Linked DNA regions of Caenorhabditis elegans. The protein of the gene in region 3 interacts with the protein of the main gene of each other region in a pairwise test. Each region holds a gene or a part of one and is shown on either strand. Other genes may lie near its edges.

The links.
Region 1: the proteins of gras-1 (region 3) and grp-1 interact in a two-hybrid assay, tested with the Caenorhabditis elegans proteins (one large-scale study listed by BioGRID).
Region 2: the proteins of gras-1 (region 3) and Y57G11A.2 interact in a two-hybrid assay, tested with the Caenorhabditis elegans proteins (one large-scale study listed by BioGRID).

Annotation. Positions count from the first base shown.
Region 1 is NC_003281.10:8,082,196-8,090,174, reverse strand, and holds grp-1 (GTP exchange factor for ARFs 1), read right to left. Parts: upstream 4,471-7,979; 5' UTR 4,425-4,470; coding exon 4,406-4,424; intron 4,355-4,405; coding exon 4,257-4,354; intron 3,940-4,256; coding exon 3,754-3,939; intron 3,680-3,753; coding exon 3,335-3,679; intron 3,273-3,334; coding exon 3,061-3,272; intron 2,487-3,060; coding exon 2,357-2,486; intron 2,308-2,356; coding exon 2,116-2,307; 3' UTR 1,726-2,115; downstream 1-1,725. Other genes in the region: tRNA endonuclease vms-1, read right to left, coding at 1-309, 360-485, 534-647, 1,040-1,160, 1,207-1,286, 1,330-1,441, 1,491-1,635; K06H7.7 (uncharacterized protein), read left to right, coding at 4,710-4,731, 4,783-4,963, 5,181-5,329, 5,380-5,559, 5,603-5,681, 5,745-5,862, 5,915-6,214, 6,264-6,389; apc-2 (Anaphase-promoting complex subunit 2), read right to left, coding at 6,567-6,761, 6,808-6,978, 7,023-7,218, 7,266-7,363, 7,408-7,641, 7,686-7,819, 7,910-7,979. UniProt on the Caenorhabditis elegans protein: Promotes guanine-nucleotide exchange on ARF. Promotes the activation of ARF through replacement of GDP with GTP. Plays a role in cell shedding during embryogenesis, probably by promoting the endocytosis of cell adhesion molecules.
Region 2 is NC_003282.8:14,515,297-14,523,224, forward strand, and holds Y57G11A.2 (Vitelline membrane outer layer protein 1), read right to left. Parts: upstream 4,244-7,928; 5' UTR 4,163-4,243; coding exon 3,934-4,162; intron 3,709-3,933; coding exon 3,496-3,708; intron 3,424-3,495; coding exon 3,202-3,423; intron 3,154-3,201; coding exon 3,064-3,153; intron 3,014-3,063; coding exon 1,959-3,013; intron 1,909-1,958; coding exon 1,795-1,908; 3' UTR 1,726-1,794; downstream 1-1,725. Other genes in the region: T27E7.1 (uncharacterized protein), read left to right, coding at 4,570-4,627, 4,727-4,795, 4,844-5,019, 5,245-5,448, 5,498-5,671.
Region 3 is NC_003279.8:7,832,037-7,838,517, reverse strand, and holds gras-1 (General receptor for phosphoinositides 1-associated scaffold protein 1 homolog), read right to left. Parts: upstream 2,711-6,481; 5' UTR 2,692-2,710; coding exon 2,584-2,691; intron 2,533-2,583; coding exon 2,316-2,532; intron 2,267-2,315; coding exon 2,027-2,266; intron 1,979-2,026; coding exon 1,806-1,978; 3' UTR 1,551-1,805; downstream 1-1,550. Other genes in the region: F30F8.9 (Letm1 RBD domain-containing protein), read right to left, coding at 799-914, 1,169-1,290, 1,378-1,454; F30F8.1 (RING-type domain-containing protein), read left to right, coding at 3,177-3,273, 3,319-3,407, 3,453-3,704, 3,750-3,926, 3,971-4,285, 4,334-4,524, 4,573-4,774, 4,821-5,048 and 3 more.

The sequences.
Region 1 (7,979 bases), on a different chromosome or scaffold from region 3:
CTCGCCAACTTTTTTCGTTTTTCTCGTACTTCCAGCATTTCTGCTCGAAAATCAGACTCTGCTCCATGTTCTGAAACTTGTTGAAGCCGTTGCCAGCAGTCTGAGATTTCATCAATATTTGGACGTTTTGTTTCGAATGGAATAGTTCGAATCCGATCATCTCTTGTCTCAATTCCAGCGTCTGCTTCGAAGAAAATATTACGATGATAGGCAGCACATCTGATGAAAAGCAATGGAGTTTTCTGAAGACGAGATTTCCAACTTGACATAATCGATTGAATTTCCTCCTTCATTTTTTGTTCATTGTATCTAAAAAAAATATAGAAGTATTCAAAAGGTTAGAAATTTTCACGAAATACCTTCTCAATTGAGCTCCGGCACTCTTCGCAGCCCCTTTACCACCAGAATCATGTTGAGATTGGACTCCTCCTTGTTTGGCACGAGCCACATATCTATGGAATGACTTTTGAACAGTCATTTTATCACTGAAATAATCAGAATTTATAAAATTAATTAGAAAAGAAAGAATTCACTTTTCAAACATTGCAGCAGCGAAGTGACCACCATTCCAAAGAAAAATGGCACAATCAAATGGACGAAGGAATGTGACTGAAGAGACATCTCGCTCACCCACGTGGAGAATATTCCTGAAAGAGGATGATAAAATTATTAAGATTTATTTACTGTGTCCAGGGTTCAGAATTACAAGAAGTTTCATTCTTCGTTTCTTTTTGTTGGTGTTTTTGGCGAAAAACCATTTTTCGTTTTCGTTTCTCGGAAAAATTGAAAAACAAACATTTTAGATTTTTCGAAAATTAAAAATTGGTAAAACTGTAGAAAAATGTACAGAAAAAGACAGGGAAACTATAGAAAATTGGAATTATAGAGAAAGTAATTTTAATCCGATTTTTGAAGCATGGTTTCAAAGTGTGGCTATTTTTTTTTTTAGAAAAAATTTTTTTTTCTTGTGTTTTTTCTTAAACAAAATTTAATTTTAAAAAACGAATTTTGTTAACTTTCAGAATTTTTTTGATTTTACCTTGGAACCGAAAAAACGGAGCCATTTTTAATGAAAAACGACCGATTTGCAGGTAAAAGCAATGCATCAAATTCTTCATCGTCAGATTCCAATCCAATTGTAGTTTGTGAAGATGTGAGATCTGGTAATACTTAATTTACAATTTACATTCATATCGGAGATCATACCATTTTCTGAATTTTCGATTCCTTCAAAATCTTCTTCAGTGTAGACTGTCATGTTTCTAGCTTTTCGAAGAGTATTTGTTCTAGAAATATTGTATTTATGTGAGTTGTAAAAACTGAGAATACCTATGAAAAAGTGATTGATAATGCTCTAAAAGAACAGCTCGATCACCAAAATCCACTGGACAATTACATGTTGTACACTGGTCCGAGTCTTCTGACAAACGCATTTTCCATTCTAAAGACATTTATTTTTCAAATTAAGGTTTCTAAAAGTACACACTGACCTAACATTAACGACATTCCAGCATCGGTTTCGGCAGAAATAAGAACTTCTTCTTCTTCCGATGCTCCTTCGTTTTCATGATTTTCATCGATTCGAAACGGTTCAACACCTTGCAAAAATTCTAAACTTTTCAATGTGAACCCCATATTTTCTGAAAAAAGTTATGAAAGTTATGACTGAAGTCTCGAAAAAATATCAAGTGGGTCACAAACCGATAGATGAAAAGAAAAGGCAAAAAGGAAAAATGGACGCTTTTTCTGTAGAATCTTTAAAAAAAAACAGAAAAAACAAGAATGAAGAGAGAAAAAGCTGATTATTAAATGATTACATAATTAATTCAGGCGAAATTATTTCGAAAAATTGAGAATACGGTTATTATGGAAAAAGTACACATAAGTGAGTTTTTTTGTATGAAAAAAAAGGAAATAAGTGCGAAAGGCCTAAAATGACTCGTTTTGGTGGAGGATAACAGATTATAGAAGTATTTTTTGAATGGAGAAGTTAAATTAAGATACTGAATACGAGAATAGAAACAATATATAAAATATTTGATTGTTCCCGGTCTCAATTTCAGAATACAAAATTACAGAAATGTTCATATTTGCAATCATATTGTTCAAAATGTTTCAGTGGGTACTTTTTGGTCTGGCTAATAAATGTTGCTGCGGTGCCATCATTCGTGATATTGCGTTGATCCATGATCTCATATCTTCATCATTTACTGCACATATTTTGTAAATCGAATGACGTCCTTCGACAAGCCGCCCATCTTGTTCTGTTTTGCATGCTTTGATTTGTCCATCCGATAGAGAGAATATCTGGAATTCAAGAAAAATTAACTTTGAAATTTAATTCAGCAATTTAAACCTCAAACATGAATGGCCTGGAGGGTGCCTCGACCTTCCGTATTCCAACATTTGCCAATGTGATGATTCCCTTTGGTTCCTTATCAGTCATTTGGTCAAAGTAGTAGAGACAATTCTCAGAAAGAACAAACCTATAATAAAGTTAAGGATTATTTGTGTTCATGAAACAATGTGAAAAATGGTTTAAAGTGTAGTATATTCGGATGAGGAGTTTCTTTTAAAAGATACATATTGACCTCAATGACCGAAAAAACATTTTTATTATTTAAAAAAATTGCAATAAAATTTTTTTAAACATTTTAAAATGATTTTTTCAATTTTGCAAAAGAAAAAAGTTTTTCGCCATTTTTGCGTTTTCTGGTTAAAACCGAATGTTAAATTTTTACACACATTTTTACAAAAAAAAAACTATCAAAAAATCGATTTTTAATCCAATATTCTTTCTGGTTATCAAGTTTTTTAACGGAGAAATTGTTTTTTAAAAATTGGAAAAGCGAGCTTTTAATCGAATATCCGAGAAAAAATCACCAAAATCAATAAATTTAGTCTGAAAACGGAATTCAAATTTAGCCTTTCCTATTTTTGCAAAATTTAAAAAATCATAATATTTAGTAGAAAACTAATAATTTTTTAAACAGTTATATTTCGGTTATACGGTTCCATCTTTAAAAAGTATGCTACTAATAAATATATTCAAAACCTTACCATCGTTTTTTCCACGAAAGAGCACCAGAAAATAATGGATTACTACTCTGCTTGAAAAGCCATCCTTCTCGTTCAGCATGTAATAGAATATCGTTCACAGTTCCTTTTCCACTTGTCGATACTTCATCTGGGATCTTGAATTGTGTAACACTAACTGATTCATATACTTCTGTGAGCTGTTCGATTGTAATTGCACCTTTTTCGAGAAGTTGCTGAAATTTTCCATTTAATTTCATTAAAAATGTTTTTTCTTCAATTTTCATCCTATACCAACCTCATTCATTTCAATATATTTTTCCAGTGATGGTTTATCTTTAACGTTTGGATTATGTAATAATGTATTAACCATAATACATGAATATGCTACTGTATGTGCTTGATCTGCATTTCCATATGATGGATTTTGATTCGCGTAAACTTCTGCAAATTTCTCCAAAATTCGATTAATTTTCTGCGATTCGCCAGGTAGCCGGAAGGAAAATAGATATTGACGAAGAGCTGGAACAATCGGAACATCATGCAATTTATGTTCTTTTGTGAATCTGTCAAGGGTTTCCAACGCAAATGGACGGTTATCACCCAGTATTTCGCCGATCGCACTTTTAGAAAGTCCTTCGCCCTGAAAAATTGCAGTTGAAAACATAATAAATAGATTTCTATTAAATAATTGTTTTAAAAAATAAGAAAACTCACAGCTTTCATCCAGAGCGCCAATGCTTGAGGATCCTTTGCAACTACATTTCTTGATGCCAACCAATCCAACGCTTTCCATGGGTCTTGATTGAACTTTTTTCGGCCATTCACCACTATTTTGTGATATTCTTTTGATTTTGGATGGGTGTAATATACTTGATCGAGTTCTTCGTCAACTTCTCGTACCTAATATGTTGACATATTTCGTAATAGACAGAATTTAAAATAGCACACATGGAGAACGTCATTTTGCTTTTTTAAATTTATTGTTTTTTTTAGAAATCAAAGATAGCTTATCAAAGTTTCAGTTATTAGAAATATTCTTCGATATTTATAACAAAAATCTAAATTTTTAGAATGCAAAAACAAAACCGTAAAAGGCATCACAGAGAATTGATTAATATAATTTTGAAAAATATTATTTAAAATAGAAAAGTGAAGATTTCCGTTCTAAAGATTTTTGTTTGGCTAAAACATTCATTAAAACTAATTAGTTTTCACACCTCATTTTTTAGCGCCTCAATTTCATCGACAAGTTGTGCCTTCCTCTTGCGTACTTTGGGAAGAGTCATCTTCTCCGTCTCCGATAGTCCATTTCGTTCTGAAATTATCAAAAGCGTTGAAATTTGCTTTAATACTCAAGTGTACAAACCTGAATACCGCGATGACATTTATCCCTTGTTTTTCCGCTGCATACACAGACTTCCTTTTTCAATGCTGAAAAATGAATTATTTTAAACGTTTTAAACTTTAAAACAATATCAACTCAAGAGAGAAAATGACAAATCAGGAAAAATACAAGCAAAGAAAAACTAATTGAAGAAAAAGAAAAACTCTTAAATGTCGTACAATGTGGTGTCTACTGTGCAACATCCCTCATAGTGTTTGCACACAATTGTCTACAGTACTCTATAACATAATTCTAGGACCTAGACTTTTTTCCTTTCTTGTGCGAGATGTCGTTTTCTGCCGGAGAAAGTAAGTTAAAGTTATACATATGAATATAAAATTGAAGACTTTCAACTTCAGGTTCTGCCGCAACGGGAGACCCTCAAGATTTCAATAAATTCTTTGGTGAAATTAACAGTCCATCCGAAGCTGCGAAAACAATCAAAGCAATACCTAAACCATCAGTCGCTCTCCCAGAATCTTCAGAATGTGCATCATATTGTGCTAGTTGGGTTAACGACCAGAGTTTTGAGATTTTACCGTATGTCACTTTGAAATATTGGTCCTCATCAGGGCTGTGCGGCAACCGGCAACCAAGTTGCCGAATTTTCGGCAACCAAAAGTTGCCGGTTGCCGAAATTTTTAGGGTTCGGAAACTTCGGCAATTGCCGGTTGCCGAAAATTTTTGGGTTCGGCAACTTCGGCAATTGCCGGTTGCTGCACAGCCCTAATCCTCATGAAATGAATAAGCTTTCCAGAACCGATGAAGAAAATAGGCAAACGGAATTCAGTTCCTCTCCACTTTCGGATAGTGTTCATAGTTGCCTAGGATTTAATCGAAAAAAGGAAAGAAAACGGAGGACGTCTGGAGATATTGAACAAACTGATAAGAGGAAGAGAACAGAAGGTTTCAATTTCACTTTAATTAGTTTTAAAAAAATTAAAGACATATTTCAGAACGACCTTCTGATAAAATAACATTTGCTTCTAATGTCTTCGACAACCTGGCTCGTGTTACTGCTGAGAGAGATAACCCAGAAAAACTATCGAAGTATAAGAATATTCCTGGAGTAGGGACAAGAGAGAATATTGATGAAGGAATAAGTGATATAAATCAGCCATCATCAAAAAGTAGTGGTCAGTTATAGACTGTCTGATTTAAAATCACTCTTATTTTCAGGTGTTAAATCGAAATACGTCGAAGTGATGTCATTGTTTCAGAAAAGTATACAAAAGTTCTCCATTATGAATCTTGATTAGTTAGTTTTATTTTGCGAAAATTCGATTTTTTAAAATCCTTTGCAAACAAATAATATTTTCAGCATGTACACATTTGACTGGAACCACTACTCGAAAAAGAACATTCAATATGTTGTGTTCACAAAGGTCTGCCAATCACACGCCCCAGGTCATTTTGTCGAGATGCTAAAGGAAGATTGTGTAATATTTCAATTTCGATCTCTTTTTGGCAATTATCATTCTCTTTATTCAGAGTTGCCGAGACTGTGGAAGTGCTGATTTGGCAGTTAAAGTTCGCCTTACAGTACCACTTGATTTGTCTGATATCCCGATACCATGCAGTGAAGATATACAGATCCACGTGTCATTTCTGGCTGACGATCTCTTGGAAAGACATATATCATCAAATGTGAATAGAAGTTCGAATAGAGATGATCTGGACTTTTCGAGAAGAACGTGTGAAAAGATGTACGATTTGTATCAAAAAATGATGAGAGGACAATCAAGTCGCATGTACACAGAATGGTTCGATAAGTGCAAAATTTTTGTGAAGGTTCGGAAAAAAAGTGTTCAGACTGAATTAATATAAATATGATTTGCAGAATTTTCTCTTCTCCAAGTCGCTTCATCTTTATCACGGAAATGTAATACGTCGAAAGATTGAAGAGAGTCAAACGTTGAATAAACGACGATGCTTCATCTTTGCACAAATTTTTGATCTCGAATAGTTTTTGTTTAAATTTTTTTATTTCTTTGGATCCTCTTGAATCTCAAAATCGACTGTGCCATTTTTTGTTGTTTTTTAATAAATTGTTTTGAAATATTTTATAGAATTAGATCATCATAAATACCAGCTTTGTTTAAATTTAGAAAAAAAAAATTTCAAGATTATAAAATGAAAGAAGTTATTCGCCGTCTTTCTTTTCCTGAATGATACGATATGACCCATTAATGCAGGTTAGCAGTCCCAGCGCAACTTTTCTTTGCAAAAACGCGGAAACATGATCAAGAGTGGGTCCTGCAGAAGTTGGAGAACCGAACATACGGTAGACACGATGCATCCGTTCCGCTTTCACTTCTCCGTTAGGTGCATGATTGGCCTGAAAATTGATTTTTTTATTCTTATATATTTTAAGTTTTACTTACAATGAAATTTCTAGTATATCCCCAATATTGTTCTAAAGCATCAACCATATCAGAATTCTCTTCCGGTTCCACATCTTCATCGTCTTCAAGGTCCGGTGTGCCTGGTCGAACGATGGAAATTCCACTTGGATTCCGGGTCAATGTCCACGTGTCGCTACTGATAATGGGATTCTGAGAATGAAATTATATGATAACTTAATAATTTTCTATTTTACCATGCAAATAAATCCTTGTTTAACCAGCCATTCCAATCGTTTTCTTGTCACAACCACTGACATTCCCATTTTCTCGACTACTTCAGCAGTTGTCCATGTTTCTTTTTCGAGGAACAAGAAGAGGAGAAGAGCGTACATATTTGGAATTGTTCGATCTACTTCAACTCCATCGATATTGATAGAAACCTCTACACATCTTTAAAAAGTTAAAATTCACATGATAATTCAACAAATGAAACTTACCCAACACTTCTTAACCATTCTAATTTTCTGTCGCGCTTCACGTCCAGATAAGTTTCTTGGTAAACGTCCATCGCAGCTTGCAATGGTTGAGGCATTAACTGAAATAATTTTTCATATTGTAACATTGTTGCAATATTCTCACCGCTTCTGTTTTTTCAGTTTCCAACTTTGGCCAATAATGACTTGAGATGATACATGCAGAAATTGGAATAATCGGAACATCATAATTTCCAGCGCTTCTTTCACTCATGTCTTCAAACTTTTTATCAATATCGAGACTATGAATAACGTCCCGAAGCATCACTTCACAATGTTGTAGCTCACTGTATTGGAATCTCAGTTTCAGCAAGTCCAGGTATCGCTTCTCGAATTCAGGCTAAAAAAGATATAGACTTCGTTGAAAACGAAAAGAGTACTTACATCTTTGTTGTCCGAACTCGAAAGTCGTTCAGCAAGAAGATTTCTATATTCTTTGACAAAAAGTTCTTTGGATCCATATACAGAGACAAGCATATTGAAGACGTCAACACCTTGATGCCCGGGTGCTCCATCACCTGAAAATAAGAATAACATTTTAATAACTTTTACTGAATTTGAGAGAATTGTCATTGAACTTCCGTGAGTTTTTATCTGTAATCACTAACCAACAGTAGCATCAGTTGGGTTAGGCATCCAGTTTTCCCATCCAAGCGTCTCCATATTTTCTGGCAAAAA
Region 2 (7,928 bases), on a different chromosome or scaffold from region 3:
ACAGACTTTGGGCAGACCTTGGGCAAGGGGAAAATATTTTTTCATTTCTGCCAGTTCGCGCAAGCTCAACTAATCAGAAATCTATCGCCACACCGCGGACCCGAACCAACGTACCCATTTTCCAATTGTTTACATGTCCATCGTCTTACCTGTGAAGCCCTCCTCGCGCGCGCGTTTATGTATACAGTAGCAAAGATACAGTAGCCAACATAGATACTCTCAGCGGGGCGAACAACAAAGAAAACTTACCACCGTATATTCTCTATTAGTGCAGCAGTACTAAATTCCGGACCTTCCGAAACTGCAGTAGTATTAGAGAATGTAGTACTAATTTCCAAATGAATCTATGTTGAGGTTGAGAACATTATTATTCACTTACTAAAGCTAATATTTCAAGTGGAAATTCATGAAAAGGGTGAAAAGGGTACAATAATATTGTTACAGAAAATACACCCAATTTAAAGGTTTTGGTAATTTAGTGTGAAACCATCGAAAATTACATGAAAAATTCCATTTAGTTATTCAAACGGTGAATGGTAGTAGACTCCAGCAGTACTGATTTTCGGAGGGTCCTAGGGGGGTTTTGACGATAATTTCCCATCATTTTCCGGGTCTTGACGACCTACTCAGTCAAGAGCGAGTCACTGTGTCTCGGTCCAAACCCATTCCTAATTTGTAAATTCTCAAAAACCAGAACTATTTTCGAAGATTCCATCAAAAATAAGTAATACGGTATCTAATAGTCTTGCAGTCTCTAATAGTATCGCGCCAAAAAGGAGTCCGGAAATTAGTATGCCATACCATACTAATAGAGAATATACGATATGCAAAAAGTTGGCTCAAATGATAACAATCACGCGTTCTGGATGAATAACAAAAATTAACTTTTTGTTTGAAGCCGCTCAGCTCAGCTTGGCATTGGCGTCGCGTACAAACTTGGTTAGGGAGTGGACCAACTTCGGACAAAGAGCGGGCTCTCAGTGGTTTGTGAGTAAATAAACGCCAAATTGGACAAAGAGTGGGCAAACCTTGGACAAAGAGTGGGGGGCGCAGTGAATCTCATCGTCTGTTAAAACTTGGTCAAGGAGTGGTTAAACTTTGGGCAGAGAGTGAGCGCCCAGTGGGTTGTCAGTGTAAAAAACGCTAATTTGGACAAAGAGTGGGCAAACCTTGGTCAAGGAATTGCGGGCTACTGCCGAGTATTATACCCGAGATACGAGCGTTTTACATATATATTCGTACTGAAAAAAGTTAAAAATTGTTGTTTTACTTCAGAAATTTTTTTTTAATATTCTTATTTTCTATTTAGCGCATAAATTAATTGGTACACCTGTGAATTGGTTTACCTCAATTTGCCGTAATACAATACAAAAAAGTTTGTAGAAAAAGCTTAGTCCTTCTTAAACATTTCCATAATAAGCCGATTCCCATGATAAATCAAGATATGAACTGTCAAAGTTTACCTACCAAAAATGGTGCCAGGTGCATCAAGACCCACATTTGGAAGCTCATTTCTGCTAGTTTTGGATTTATTGAAAATCAACTGGCCAAATACTCGTTATTTACATTTTATTCTGTTATATTTGAACATTTTTAAATATCACAAAACAGAACCGAGATATTCAATTTCAAACTCTGGCTGGACTAGGTGTCCAGATTCTTTTTGTCATCTTGAAGGGCTCATATCAAGTTTTAATATTCTAAAAAAGTTGTCAACTATCCCTTCAAAAATCACAATTTTATTCTACAAAAAAAGAGAAAGAGAGTTCGACAAGAGTTCGGCTACTGAAGAACCTAACGATGTTTGACAATGAGTGCTGGCAGGCTGATGACATGTTCATCGCACTTCACAACGATCTGCTCGACAATCAACTTCTTGTGGGCTGGAACCGGAAGAGTGATGACCATCTGAAATTTGGAATTGAAGTCAAATTCTAGAAAAAGTAGAGTAAACTCACATTCTGACCAGCGACTGCTTGTTGAACCAATACTTCCAGCTCGTCCATTGAAATGCTCAGCCGGTGGTAGTTGGATGGGGATTCTGGTTCTGGTCCCGGTGCTGGAGCTGGAGTTGGAGAATCGATTTCCGAATCTGTTGGAGTCGGAGGTTCTTCGGTTGGTTCTGGTACTTCTGGAATTTCCTCAGTTACAGCTGGTCCTGGAGTTGTGTCTTCTGGTCCCGGCACTGTATCTTCTGGTATTGGATTAGGATCTTCTGGCTCTTGAACTGGAAGTCCCTCAGTAGTAGTAGCAAGCTCTGGTCTTGGAACTGGATCTTCTGGTTCTGGAACTGGAGATGGCACTGGCTCCCATGGTCCTGGAACTTCATCGGTCTGTTCTGGCATTGGACCACTTCCGCTTCCATGGGTAACTTCCGAAACTTCAGTAGCGGCCACCTCAAATGGAGCTTCCGTGGAATGAACTGATCCATCTTCAGGAATAAACACTGGACCATCTGAAGTTTGTTCCTCCTGCGATCCTTCTGCTGGAGCTTCCGTAAAGATTGGGTCAACTGGAGCCTGGTTTGAATCTTCAGTAGCCGCCACCTCAAATGGAGCTTCCGTGCTTGCCTCGACTTCAGACTCGTTATTAGTCTCCTCAGCTGTATCCTCAGTAGCTGTCATCTCAACTGGAGCCTCTGAGCTCCCTTGCTCGACCTGTTGTGACCATGCGTTTTCGTCTGCATTAGCCACCGCCGGAGGTGCCGAACTTGGATCCACTACTTCGAAAACTGGATCAGATTCTGAATTTTCACCGCTGGTAGTTGGATCAACTGTGGGAATTTCAGAAATTTCTCCATTTGAGGAAGCAGCTAGATCTTCACCATTGGAGTCCACGGACTCAACTTCTGGGGCAACTGAGGTCTTCTCTGGATCATCTTCTCCCAAAACCAGTCCACCATCGACATAATCAGGATCAGTGTCCTGACGCTTGTTTCGGGTGTAGACAAAGTCCGCTGGAGCAGTGCTGAACTCGAGTTGCTCATACTTCTTTTTCAGGGAAAGCATGATTTCTGAAATATAATTTCCATTAAACAATTTGTTAATTCCAACAAAAACTCACTCTTGGCTACAAACTCTTGTTCAGTTTTGTCCGCCGCAGCCGGTCCTTCGTACTTTGACTTGACGAGCACTTTGTGGGAAGTTTCGTAATCTGAAATTCCAGAAATTTTATTGAAAAGGTGAAATCCAATCTCCTCACCATTATTATTCTGATACTTGTCCACTTCCTTAGCCTCATAGCTTGCATCACAGTCATATGGTGCCGGGCAGCATTCCACTTGAACATTGTTCACACCAGTATCATCAATTCCAGCTTGAGTCTCATTTTTCTCAACTCGAGCCTGAATTCCGCAGACTGCAAAGCCAGTTGGGCAGTAGAGATCCTCAGTCCAGTGTCCTCTTGTGACGGATTTTGTGTCGCCTGAAAGACAATCGTTTCTTGAGTCTACCTTACACAAAAGCTTGGTCCTAAGCCTACCTAGCTTCTACTCACCTTGAAGTACCACCTTACTGTTCCTTGCTCCAAATTGAGCTCCACAAAAAGCTGCAAAGTTTAGAGCTCCGGCGTCGTCATAGTTCCCTTGCAACTCTTCCACCTTCAGAGAGAATCCGACAATGACCTTGTCATCTGGGCAGTACTGCACATTTTGCCAAGTTCCGCTGACACTTTCTCCACTGATCACTGATTCCTCACTGTGTGGACCACCTGAAAAATGTAAATCTAGTGAAAAGTTGCAAATTTCCGGTATACAGTTTGACAGCTAATATCTATGTTCAAGTTGGTGCTATCAAAAAGTTTTTCACTAAAAAAAAAGATCAGTTCTAACCTAACCAAGATATTTACTCTCAAAGAACATGGTGTATCGACAGAATTCAGTTTTTACAGCCAAGGTACAAAACTTTAACCGATGTTTCACTAAACTATCCTCACCTTTAGCCGCACAACGAAGATCCACCGCAGTGAGTCCAGCAATTTCGACATCCTCCGACCACTCTTCAAACTTGATTCTCATTCCATTTGCATATTGCCCTTCAGGACATCTTGCCCATGGCTGCCATGTTCCAAATGTCGAAATATTGGGCGATTGCACAATTACTTGAGACTTGACACCAAGTGTCCACACGCCAAATACCATCCAAACAATTGATGGATGAAGCATTGTACAATGATGAGTAGAGCTCTTCCAAAGAGCCGATTGGTTTGCCGAGAGAAAAGTGCTCTCAGTTGTTGGCAATGAATTGTTTCTATTGATTTTTGGGCCTTATATAGCAGATGCCACGTAGCACCCGTGACCAGGTAATTTATTTTTAATTGCCTGTTTTTAATGAACTACGTGACCCGAAAAAAATCAAAAAAAAAATCAGAAAAAAATTATTTCAATCAAATTAAAATTTTTCCGTGACCCGTTAAGCCATCTTGATAAGAAACTCCATAAATAGGGTGGATTTTCTCAAAAAGTTCACTCATTCATATTTCGACCGCCCGTTTTTTGGTCTCTCATCGCGGAGAGCAGAATTCAAAGAGCCGTACAAAAGAAGACACACCGACGCCAACAATTCGGATATCATGAGTTGGAATTGCCTTTTGCCGATTTTCGTCGGATTCTTTGTGCTTTTTTATGAAGGTATGCCTCTTGTTTGTCGCAGTTTCGACGCTTTTTCATGGAAAAACTGCCGAGTTTTGGAGAAGTTCAGTCTATATGTAAAATAATTTGTTATTTTAGGACAGTGCCAACCAGCTAGATGGACTCAACAACCGGGTGGCCAGAACCCCCAGCCAGGTGCAAGTTTCCGTAAGTTCTGAAATTCCTCAGCCAAAATCATGGTCCATCAACTTTCAGCACCCAACATGAACCCTGTCACAAACGGACCAGGATCTTGGACACAAAAGCCTGGAGGATACAACAATGGGCCAGGATCCGGAAGTTTCAAATCAACTAAGCCACCACGAGGACTCGTCTACTATCAGCCCAAGAACTATCCATACAAGCCTGGAAAAGGTGGAAAATATATGCATGTGAGTTTGGAGATGATCAATTTCGGATTCCTCGCCGGTTCTTAAGTCTAAAGCAGAGTTGTAAGCTCAAAATTCGAAAAAAAATGGCTGAACTTCGGTGTTTGCGTACTAATGGAGCTACCGTACCCCTCGAAGCTTCAAAATTGAGCTAGAATTCTCTACCTTTTGGTGGTCAGCTTGGGTCCACAAATTGATAGCTTCTCTGAAGTAATTCTAAAATTTCAGGCGGACCCTATCCTCCCCAACGCAAATGAACGACTTTCGGCTCAAAGCGACCAGTACACCGTATCCGACGGAATTACGGGAGACTGGAGCAAGATTGTGGCAAACAGTAAAGGATTCTATGTGCTTCATCCGGTGCAGACAAAAAGCGAGGAGGACATTTTCGATCCGTACACTATTGGTCAAGTCATTGGGTACCTTTATGAGGTAAATTGGGATGCCTACCTTGGTGCCTACCTACCAGCGTTGTTTTCAGGTTCAAGAATTTGGAGGAAAGAAGCCGCCAAGTGGAAAGTACACGATTGAGCTGATGGGCAAAAAGATTCCGGACCATTTGAAGAAGAAGCGCTCACTGTTTGGCTCTCCGGACCGTACTCGTCGTGCTACGTTGGTTTTCAAGAAGAAGGAGCAGGTTAAGAGCACTTTGTAGTTTGTAGTGAAAAATAAATTTGTTTCTGCATGGCTATAGGATTACAGTTACCGTCCAGAGTATATTATACACTTGGTGATCTCGTAATATGTATTATGACTTCTTTGGTATTGTATTTTTCAATGTTGAACTGTATATATAAATATATAAAAGTTGGCATTTCCTGTACCTGTACTGAAAAAAGTTGAAAAATTGTTTAACTTCAGAAATTTTTTTTTGATGTTTCCATTTTGTAGGGCATGTTTTAAGTAGTAGATTTGTGAAAAAGAAGTTGGTAGAATTGAATTATTACTCGAGATACAAGCTTTTCATGAACTGAAAACAAATTCAAAAAATGTTTAACTTCAGAAGTTTTTTTTTTGATATTTTCATTTTGTTGCGCATGTCTTAATTTGTACACCTGTGAATTCACTTTTCGATTTCTGGAGCAGAAAGGGATAACAATTTTTAATTCGATTGACTTCATTCGATGAGACGTTACAAATGTTTCAAAAAAAAATACCGTTTCGCAATTGTTTCATAACTTTGCGACAACTTTTCATAATGGTTTGACAGCGTTACGATAAAAATTAGATTGTTTTCCAAACAAAAAATGGGCCGAATCATCGTATTTATATATTTACTTATATATTTATTTGCCATGCAGTAAATTTTTTGATTTACTTCTGCCACAGTTTTCCAAATGCCACAAAAGTTTCCTTTTTTTTGGAGGGCGAAATTGAAATTAAGATATCAAAATGCCCTAAAAGAATACATTTGTGGTTTATAATTTTTAGTTGGAACAAACTTATCACAATAAAAATATACTTATTCATTCACTTAATATTAAGACTTGCAGCAAATTCTGAATAACTTTCATTTATGATGAATTCTGGTTTGCAATTTGTAATGAAAATTTTGGCATTTCATTTTAAAACGGCAAAAGCGAACTATCAAGAAAAAAGTGGACATTCTAAGAAAACATCTATGAAAAAGTACCAAACAAAGTATGCTAGCTAGTACAGGATATATTTAAAAAATTCAGAATTTTACCAAAAGCTGTATTTTTCATAATTCCAAAAGTTCGGGAAAATCATAGGAAACGCTTCTTTTTCTTTCATAAAATTGTTCAGAATTGTCATTTACACCAGAAAATACTAAACAAAGTATGCTAGCTAGTACGGAAAAAAAAACGGAAGGAAACATTTAAAATTGATATTCTGTAAACGGGAAGTTCAGCCATTTGCCGTGACCAAAAATTTATATCACGCCGTCGAGCTCCAAGACACCCCAATCAGTTCTTTTTTTCAGTTCTTCAGAGTTTCTTCGTTTTGTCAGAAGCAGTTTTGCCAGAAAAAACATAAATCAACATTAAGAAAAAAAAGGTGTTTGCTCATTTCTTTTTCTAGACAACGCATTGTAACTACTCATTAAAAGGAATTTCAGTCTCGGTGACGTTATAGTATTTGTCTTTTTCTCGTCGCTAAAAATTGAATGTAAAAAAAAGAAAAATCTAAATGACTCAAATCATCTCTCTATCGGATTATTTCGTTAACGTATACCCGTTGAAATGCCCTCCAGATACCCGATATTTAGCATCCGTAGAAGGACTAAAAACCGTCGCATGTTCAATTTCTCTACTCTCCCTACCTATTCTATTTCTCACATTTTTTTGCATTACAAGGAAAACTCCAGAAAGCAGGAAATCAATTAAAATGGGATTATTGAATCTGAACTTTTGGTATACCGTTGTTTCTTTGACCATAGGATCTTGCTTCATAATTCCAATTACATATCTACCATTTTCTGCAAGTAGTACAATTGGATTTGCTCACTATTTAAATATTCCACCAATTATCCAATTGTATTTGTTTATAACCGTGAATAATGGTAAGTTAAGCAGTTTTTTTACAATTTGGAAATCAAGTGTCAGTAAACTAACAGTTGAGAATAGTTCAGAATTGAATAAAAAAGGCTTCAATCAGATTATTCCAGCAATGATTGTCTCGATAACAGTGTTGTTTGAAAATCGGAGTAGCTCAATTACATTAAACAAGTTCAGTATTTCAAGACGAATATCAAAATTGTTTTGGATTTTTGTAAATTGTTGTGGAACGATTGTGCTCATAACTCCGCCGTTTCTAAATTTGCCAGATCAAAATGCTTCTAGAATTGAGATTTTAAAAGTTTGTTTATCCATTTTTTTTCTGAAATAATTTATACCGTTTCAAACAGTCTACTTATTCCAGATTCTACATTGCCCAGTGAAAGAGTTTTC
Region 3 (6,481 bases):
CCGAATAGAAAAATGATCCCGACTGTATAAACGAAAAATTATTTTCCAATTATTGAATGGAATAAGACATTGTAAAAGGTTTTCAGCTTAAAAAACTGAAATTTAGATGTTTTCTAATTAGATTCGAAGCTGTTTGGTGATGAAATTGAGGGAGAAAAGACACGCCAAAACGGAGATTCTTAGTTGCGAGTTTGCCGTCCAGTTAGGATTAAAGGTGGAGTAGTTGTTTGGGGGTTTTGCTTTGAACAACTTATTTAATTAAAAAAAAAAGGTTATTTTAATGCTGCAAACAAAAAAATTTTAAAAACGCCTGAGTCAAATGTTTCAAACCAAATAGCAAAGAAGAAATAAAAAAAAGAATTTAGCCAGAATTTTATTGCGCGGGAAGTAAAGCCCGTTTAAACCGTTTCCTTTGTTTTTGAAAGATTGAAAAAAAAATCATGTACAATTCTATATACTTTTTCGTATCTATAATTTAAAGCAAAACCCCCAAAGAACGCTCCCAAATTTTTTATATAAAAGAAGAAAACGGAATTAAAAATAACTAACAACACCGACAAAAAATATTCCAAAAATGTTAGGACAACTCACAACATAAGAATTAGAATGTCGCCAGGACCAGGAATTTGTAGAATCACAATGAGTGTGAGCATTTTGATCAATTCGCTTCCACTCTAGATAATTTGCTAGTATTTTGACTATCCTTGTAATAGAAAATAAAAACAAAAAGGGAGAATTTGAGTCTATTCATGAAGAAAAAGAACAACGAATAGACCCTTTTCCGTAGTTTATTTCTACCTGAACAAGTGTCTCCAATTCCTCAACGCTGAGATCTGTGAGCTTCTTCTGACCGGTAGCCACAGCTCGTTTCGTCTTGAAATACATTTTCACATCGGCAAAGCACCATCGAGAGCCTGAATATATGATTCACAAGATGATATTGTAATCTTACACGATTTTGGCATTCCTTCATGAAGGTGTACGGATTTATTCAGATGAGTCACGGGGCGAAGTTTAAGTTGCCATAAACTTTGCGCCGAGACCCATCTGAATAAATCCGTGCGACTTTAAGAGAGCATGTCAAGATCTCTGAATAAAAATAAAAAAGATCAGAAAATGTCATTTTTGAATTTCAAAAGTAAGTAAGTTAATCGGAGAACTCCCTCACCTTCAAGAACAGTCCTGTGAAGTGCCAACACTTTAGGCCATTTTCCAATAAATTGTTCATACTTGTAGGTCAAGGATCCTTCTTTAGCTGGAGTGGCTGGAGGTGGACCGGCTGATGTTTGTCTGAAGTAGAACACATTTTTTAGAGGGATAATATTGAATTTAACGGATACTCAGAATAAAACAGGTTTTAATGATGAAAAGGTCTACCTAACAGCAACAAGAAAAGTAGGCGAATTGAGCACACTGTTACTGCGATGAAGAAGAATCCTTGACAATGAGTGCATCTGTTTGAAAAAAAGTAGTTTTGTCAAGGAAAAACAAACGAAAAAGTAGAAAAGGCACAGAACCTCATGGATAATTGAAATAATTGTGTCAGGAATAGTAGATAAAACTTCATGTTATTTCCTGAAACTAATAGTATAACAGGCAGGCTAGAATCATAACCATGATCACAGGTTTGTGGGAATCAAAATGACTGGAATGGGAATAAAATGGCAAATTTTGGGCGGAGACAGGAAGTTAAAATACATATATGTACAACTATGTACCAGGGATCGAAATATATAATTAGAGTATACATGTTTACCCATGAGTGTTCAGAGATAAACGTGAAAATATGAAAGACATTGATTTTACTAGAGACGCGTGACTTGGGGAGTTCCAACAGACGTGCTACTGTTGATGCGAATGAGATGGCGATAATCAGTGCCGTTTGCTTCCTTTTCTTGTGGATTTTGTACATTTTTTAGCTCCTCATCAAGTTCGTAAAGCGTGCTTTCAAGTGATTCGTCTTCCTCCTCATTGCCATCTAAAATTGTTACAAATAATCAAAATAATAACCGTAAACTCGACTTACGTTCATCGTCATATAATGCTTGCAAATCTTCTTCCGTCTTTTCGAGCATCCTCAATTCTCTAATTTTTGCATCGAGCATGAATCGTAACTGAATCGACCGCATGCTCAATTCCACGATTCTTGCTACATCTTTGAAGACCAGAACGAGACTGACTTGAAGACACTGAGCAATTGATTCGACGATTTCTGCATGGGAGGCAGTGACGACGCTTTTTTCATTGACAGCAATGACCATGTCGCCTAAAATTGCAGTAGTTGGCAGGAAAAGCTGAATTAAATGATTGAATACCTCGTGTTATCCCGCAGCGATCAGCTGGGCTATCAGCCGACACGTAATCCACATAAGTTATTCTTTCGTAACTGTTTGAAGATGTTCTTTTGAATACATATGATTGGAGAGCAAAGCCAAAGGAAGTTTCAAATGTTTGACGACATAGAAGAAGGCTCCGTTGTGCGGATTCTTGATTGATCCCATCGAAAAGATAATCATTCAGTGGATATTCTTCCTGTAGTAACGAATATTATGGTTGTTCTTCAATGGAGAATCAAATAATTACTTTTGCGTCACACAATAGTCGCTGTTCAGAAATATTGTCATCCGGCGTATCATATTTTGAAGAGCTCGAACTCGTGGAAACCGCACTATGAGCGTCGATGTGATCCATAAAAGCAGAAACTCTGAAATAACATATATTAAACAAAAAAACATGTTTTTAGAGTTTTTTAAATGTTTAAACAACACAAGACTCGAAACAAAGTCGATAAGTTGTAAAATTGGTGAGAAGATGAAAGGAAAAGCTAGAGACGAGAAACATGTACGCAAGCGCCAGATTCGACGCGCAAAGTTTATAATGGGAAATTCGGTAATAACTTTAGAAGAAAGCATATAAAATTATTAAACTTAAGTAAAAAGTGACTAAAACACAATCATCATGCAAAAAAATAAACGACTAAAAGACCAAACAAATGACTAGCGCGTGCGCACCTTTTCTTATTTGTTGTTGAAATATATGAAGGTTACGGTATTTACTGAAACACGCAAACACATGACACGCTTTCGAAATTTCAGCTTTCGAAAACTCGTTCCTAAATACTTTTCCTACTTTTGTGAAAATTCCCTTGATTTTTGTCAAAATAAGGATCATTCGCGATGAATGATTCTTATGCTGAATATATAGCACAAGTAAATGAGTTTACGAGGAATTTCTGTATGAATCCTCAGCGATATCTCGCTGGTAATCAGAGAGGTTTGTGGAAACTTTTAATGACCTAAGTTTCAAGTCGATTTTCAGATTTATCCCAGCCGCTTCCTCCACCTGTACTCTCTGGTGAAGCAGTTCTACCAACCAGTACTTCTGTTCCTCAGCAAATCGCGCAAACGGTTTTACTTTGTTTTCATATTCTGATTGATAAAATATGTTTCCAGAACATGGTTCGCTCAAGTGAAGTACCACCTCAATCTCTTCGACAGGAAATTCAATCATTTACATCGTCAGAGGTGCCCACTAGTAGTCAAGTTGCTGGAGTGAGAAACTCGTTCACACAAAGGCTTCTCCCAATCCAAGAATTGTCGAATTCCGAATCTGTCCCAGCCTTAGATACTGCGCTTGTTCCTTCCAGTTCCACTTTGGCAGCTTCATCACAACGTCGTCTTTCATCTCAATCAATTCCTGTCCTGGTTGGTTTTAACTTTTAATTCCCGTTTAATGAATTTTATTGACAGACACGCAAACTCGGTTCAGTTCAGCCTAAAGTGGATGAAGCTCCAGCTGAAATTATAAGAGAAGTGAACAACTTAAATATTCATCATGGAGCCAACAATCAGGGTGAAGTTCCGTCTTCCGAGTTGAACGCTGATCTCGATGGGGTTTTTGAAATGGTCCAGCGTCATCAGTTCCCGGTAAATTAGAGCTTTGCAGTTCTCTCAAAATTTTTTAGTTGCAGCGTCCAAGTGTATTGATTCCAGCAGAACAAATTGAACAAAGTACATGGCTTTCTGAGTCAAATGATGCTGCTATTAACATTTCTCAAAACAATGACGTCATCGATCCAAATAAAACAATACCATTCATTGCCAGCGGAAAGAGTATTGAAAACATTGATCTTCCATATCTTCCGGGTCAAACGGTTTTTCCTAACATGTTCACTGAATTAACTGCTCGTCTACGTTCCCAAGAGAGGGAAGAACTTCTCCGGCGAGAGTTGAATGAACTTAGTATGAATCAAGGAACATCAAATCAGTTTGATCAACAGCAAATGGTTTAAAAAAATTAAGAAAATGGGATTTAAATTAAATTCATTTTTTAGAATTCTCGTGTCATTCCGAATTCAATGGGTACTCTATGGGAATCATCAGAAACTGGTCAACAAGGTGGTACATCTTCCTCGTCTACCGTCCAAGCATTTCAACAAATGAACCAAACAGAGTACTGCAATTTGGCGACAGATATTCTTATCAATATGGATAACACAGAGCTGAAAAATGTTACAGACGCTTAGTGAGTTGTCCTAATGAATTATTATTTTAATAGAACACGATTTTTTAGCTTTGAGAGCAATGTACGCACCAAGTTCAAGGCAACGTATCCCTTCTTAGCAGAGGGAATGATCCAGAGAGATAGTCAATCGGATCCCAAAATGCTTCACGTGTACTCATCACGTCTCGGTCATATTAGAATTCCGGACACCCGCGCAGATACAAAAGATTATGTCTACTTCATGGTCATTAATCCAGGCGAATATGGAGGAGTTAGTTATAATACGAAATTTTAATTTTCAAACATTGAAATTTCAGTTTCGTTTCTTTGGGCATCCAAATTGTATCATTTCTGCAAAGCTTCCTGCTCCAAACAAAATCAGTATTAAAGGACGTGGAATGCTTGTTCATCCAATTGGGCGCGAAGATCAGACAAGCGAGAGAAGTTGGTTCATTTGGAATGATTCACTTGGATTGATGGACGTTATCAGTGGATCGGCTCGAATTGCTTTGAAGAAGTACACTTGCTGGGATAAGCAACTTGATGTAGGAATTTTGTGTTGTTCAAAACCAGATTAACAATTATTCAGATTGTGATTTTCCAAGCATCGTTCGAAGACCGCAAGTTCCGTGTTGATCAAATCACGGTGATAACGGAAATGAACACCAAGAGGAGCACATTCCCAGAGGATGCCTTCTTGGTGGATGATGCCGTTTTCAAGCAAACTGTGAGTTTCTGAGAACCACAAAAATGTATCACCAATCAATTTAGGGAACTGCTGATGTGACATTCCACTCGCAGAGCATCAAAGCGGACATTGTCATCAAGAAAGCATTGTTGGGGTCTTTCGAAGTGTCCAAAGCAAGCAACTTTGAGGTAAAAAGGCAGCAAAAAGTTATCAATCAGCAAGTTAATTTTCAGATGGTGGTTGCACCAACCTTTCCGCATTCCACCCAACTCGAATTTCGAGGAATGTTGCTGATTGATGTGCCATCTAGGTTCTGGAGCAGAGAGAAAATATGGATCAGAGACATTCTGTCTACAAGAACCGATGCTTGGCGTTGAAGGAGCCACAATCCAATTTCTGAATGTCTCATTTCCAACACTTGTAACATTCACTAAATATCTTTCATCCGATTCCCCTACATTTTTTTCGCTCCCGTATTCGTTTCTCGATACATCTCTTATATTATTTGTTCGCTTCTCGACATGTTCCGATAACCCCACTGTTATTGTTTCCAAATTTTTTCATATTAATATCAGACATTTTATAATTTTTTTCGGAACAAAAAATGTTTTCTTATAACTCGAAAAAACGAAGATCAAAATGTGCAACTAGACATTGAAATGACGAGAAACTTGGAACAGCTGTGTTTCCGCCGTGACAAAAAAAATGAAAGACGTACTTCCTCCCACGTGTCCTGGAAATGATAAGACGAAAAAATTTCATTTCTACTTGAACAAACAATCGAGAGTAAGATTTTGCGCCAAGTGGTAAGCCGTGAAAAATGCTTGTATTTTGTTAAAACATTCGAGTTTTCAGGCGGTTCGATTTTTTTAAACACTATTCTCTACTAGTAATCATAAAATGATCTCAAGAATCATTTTCAACTCGCACAAATCATTCGGAAAACAGTAAGTGAATTTATGGGTTTGAAAAATAAATTTAGGTTTTTCTACGACGAAAACCATATTTATGAGTAAAAAAAAATAATTTCTATCTACTATGCATTTTGCTTTCTTTTAACAATTTTCTTGGGTCTCGCCGCGAGCTTACTTTTTTGGAAATTATTAGTAATAGATACATTTTTATTGTTCCCTTCCTTATTTTATTTATTATGGTTTTTTCTAGTTTTTTTTCAATCAGAAAAAAATGATGAGGGAATTTTCAGAATGAATGCTGAATGCGCGGCAAGACCTTTTCGCATTAATGCGCTTCCCTTTAAACTCACAGACAACGGAAATTAAATATACAGTA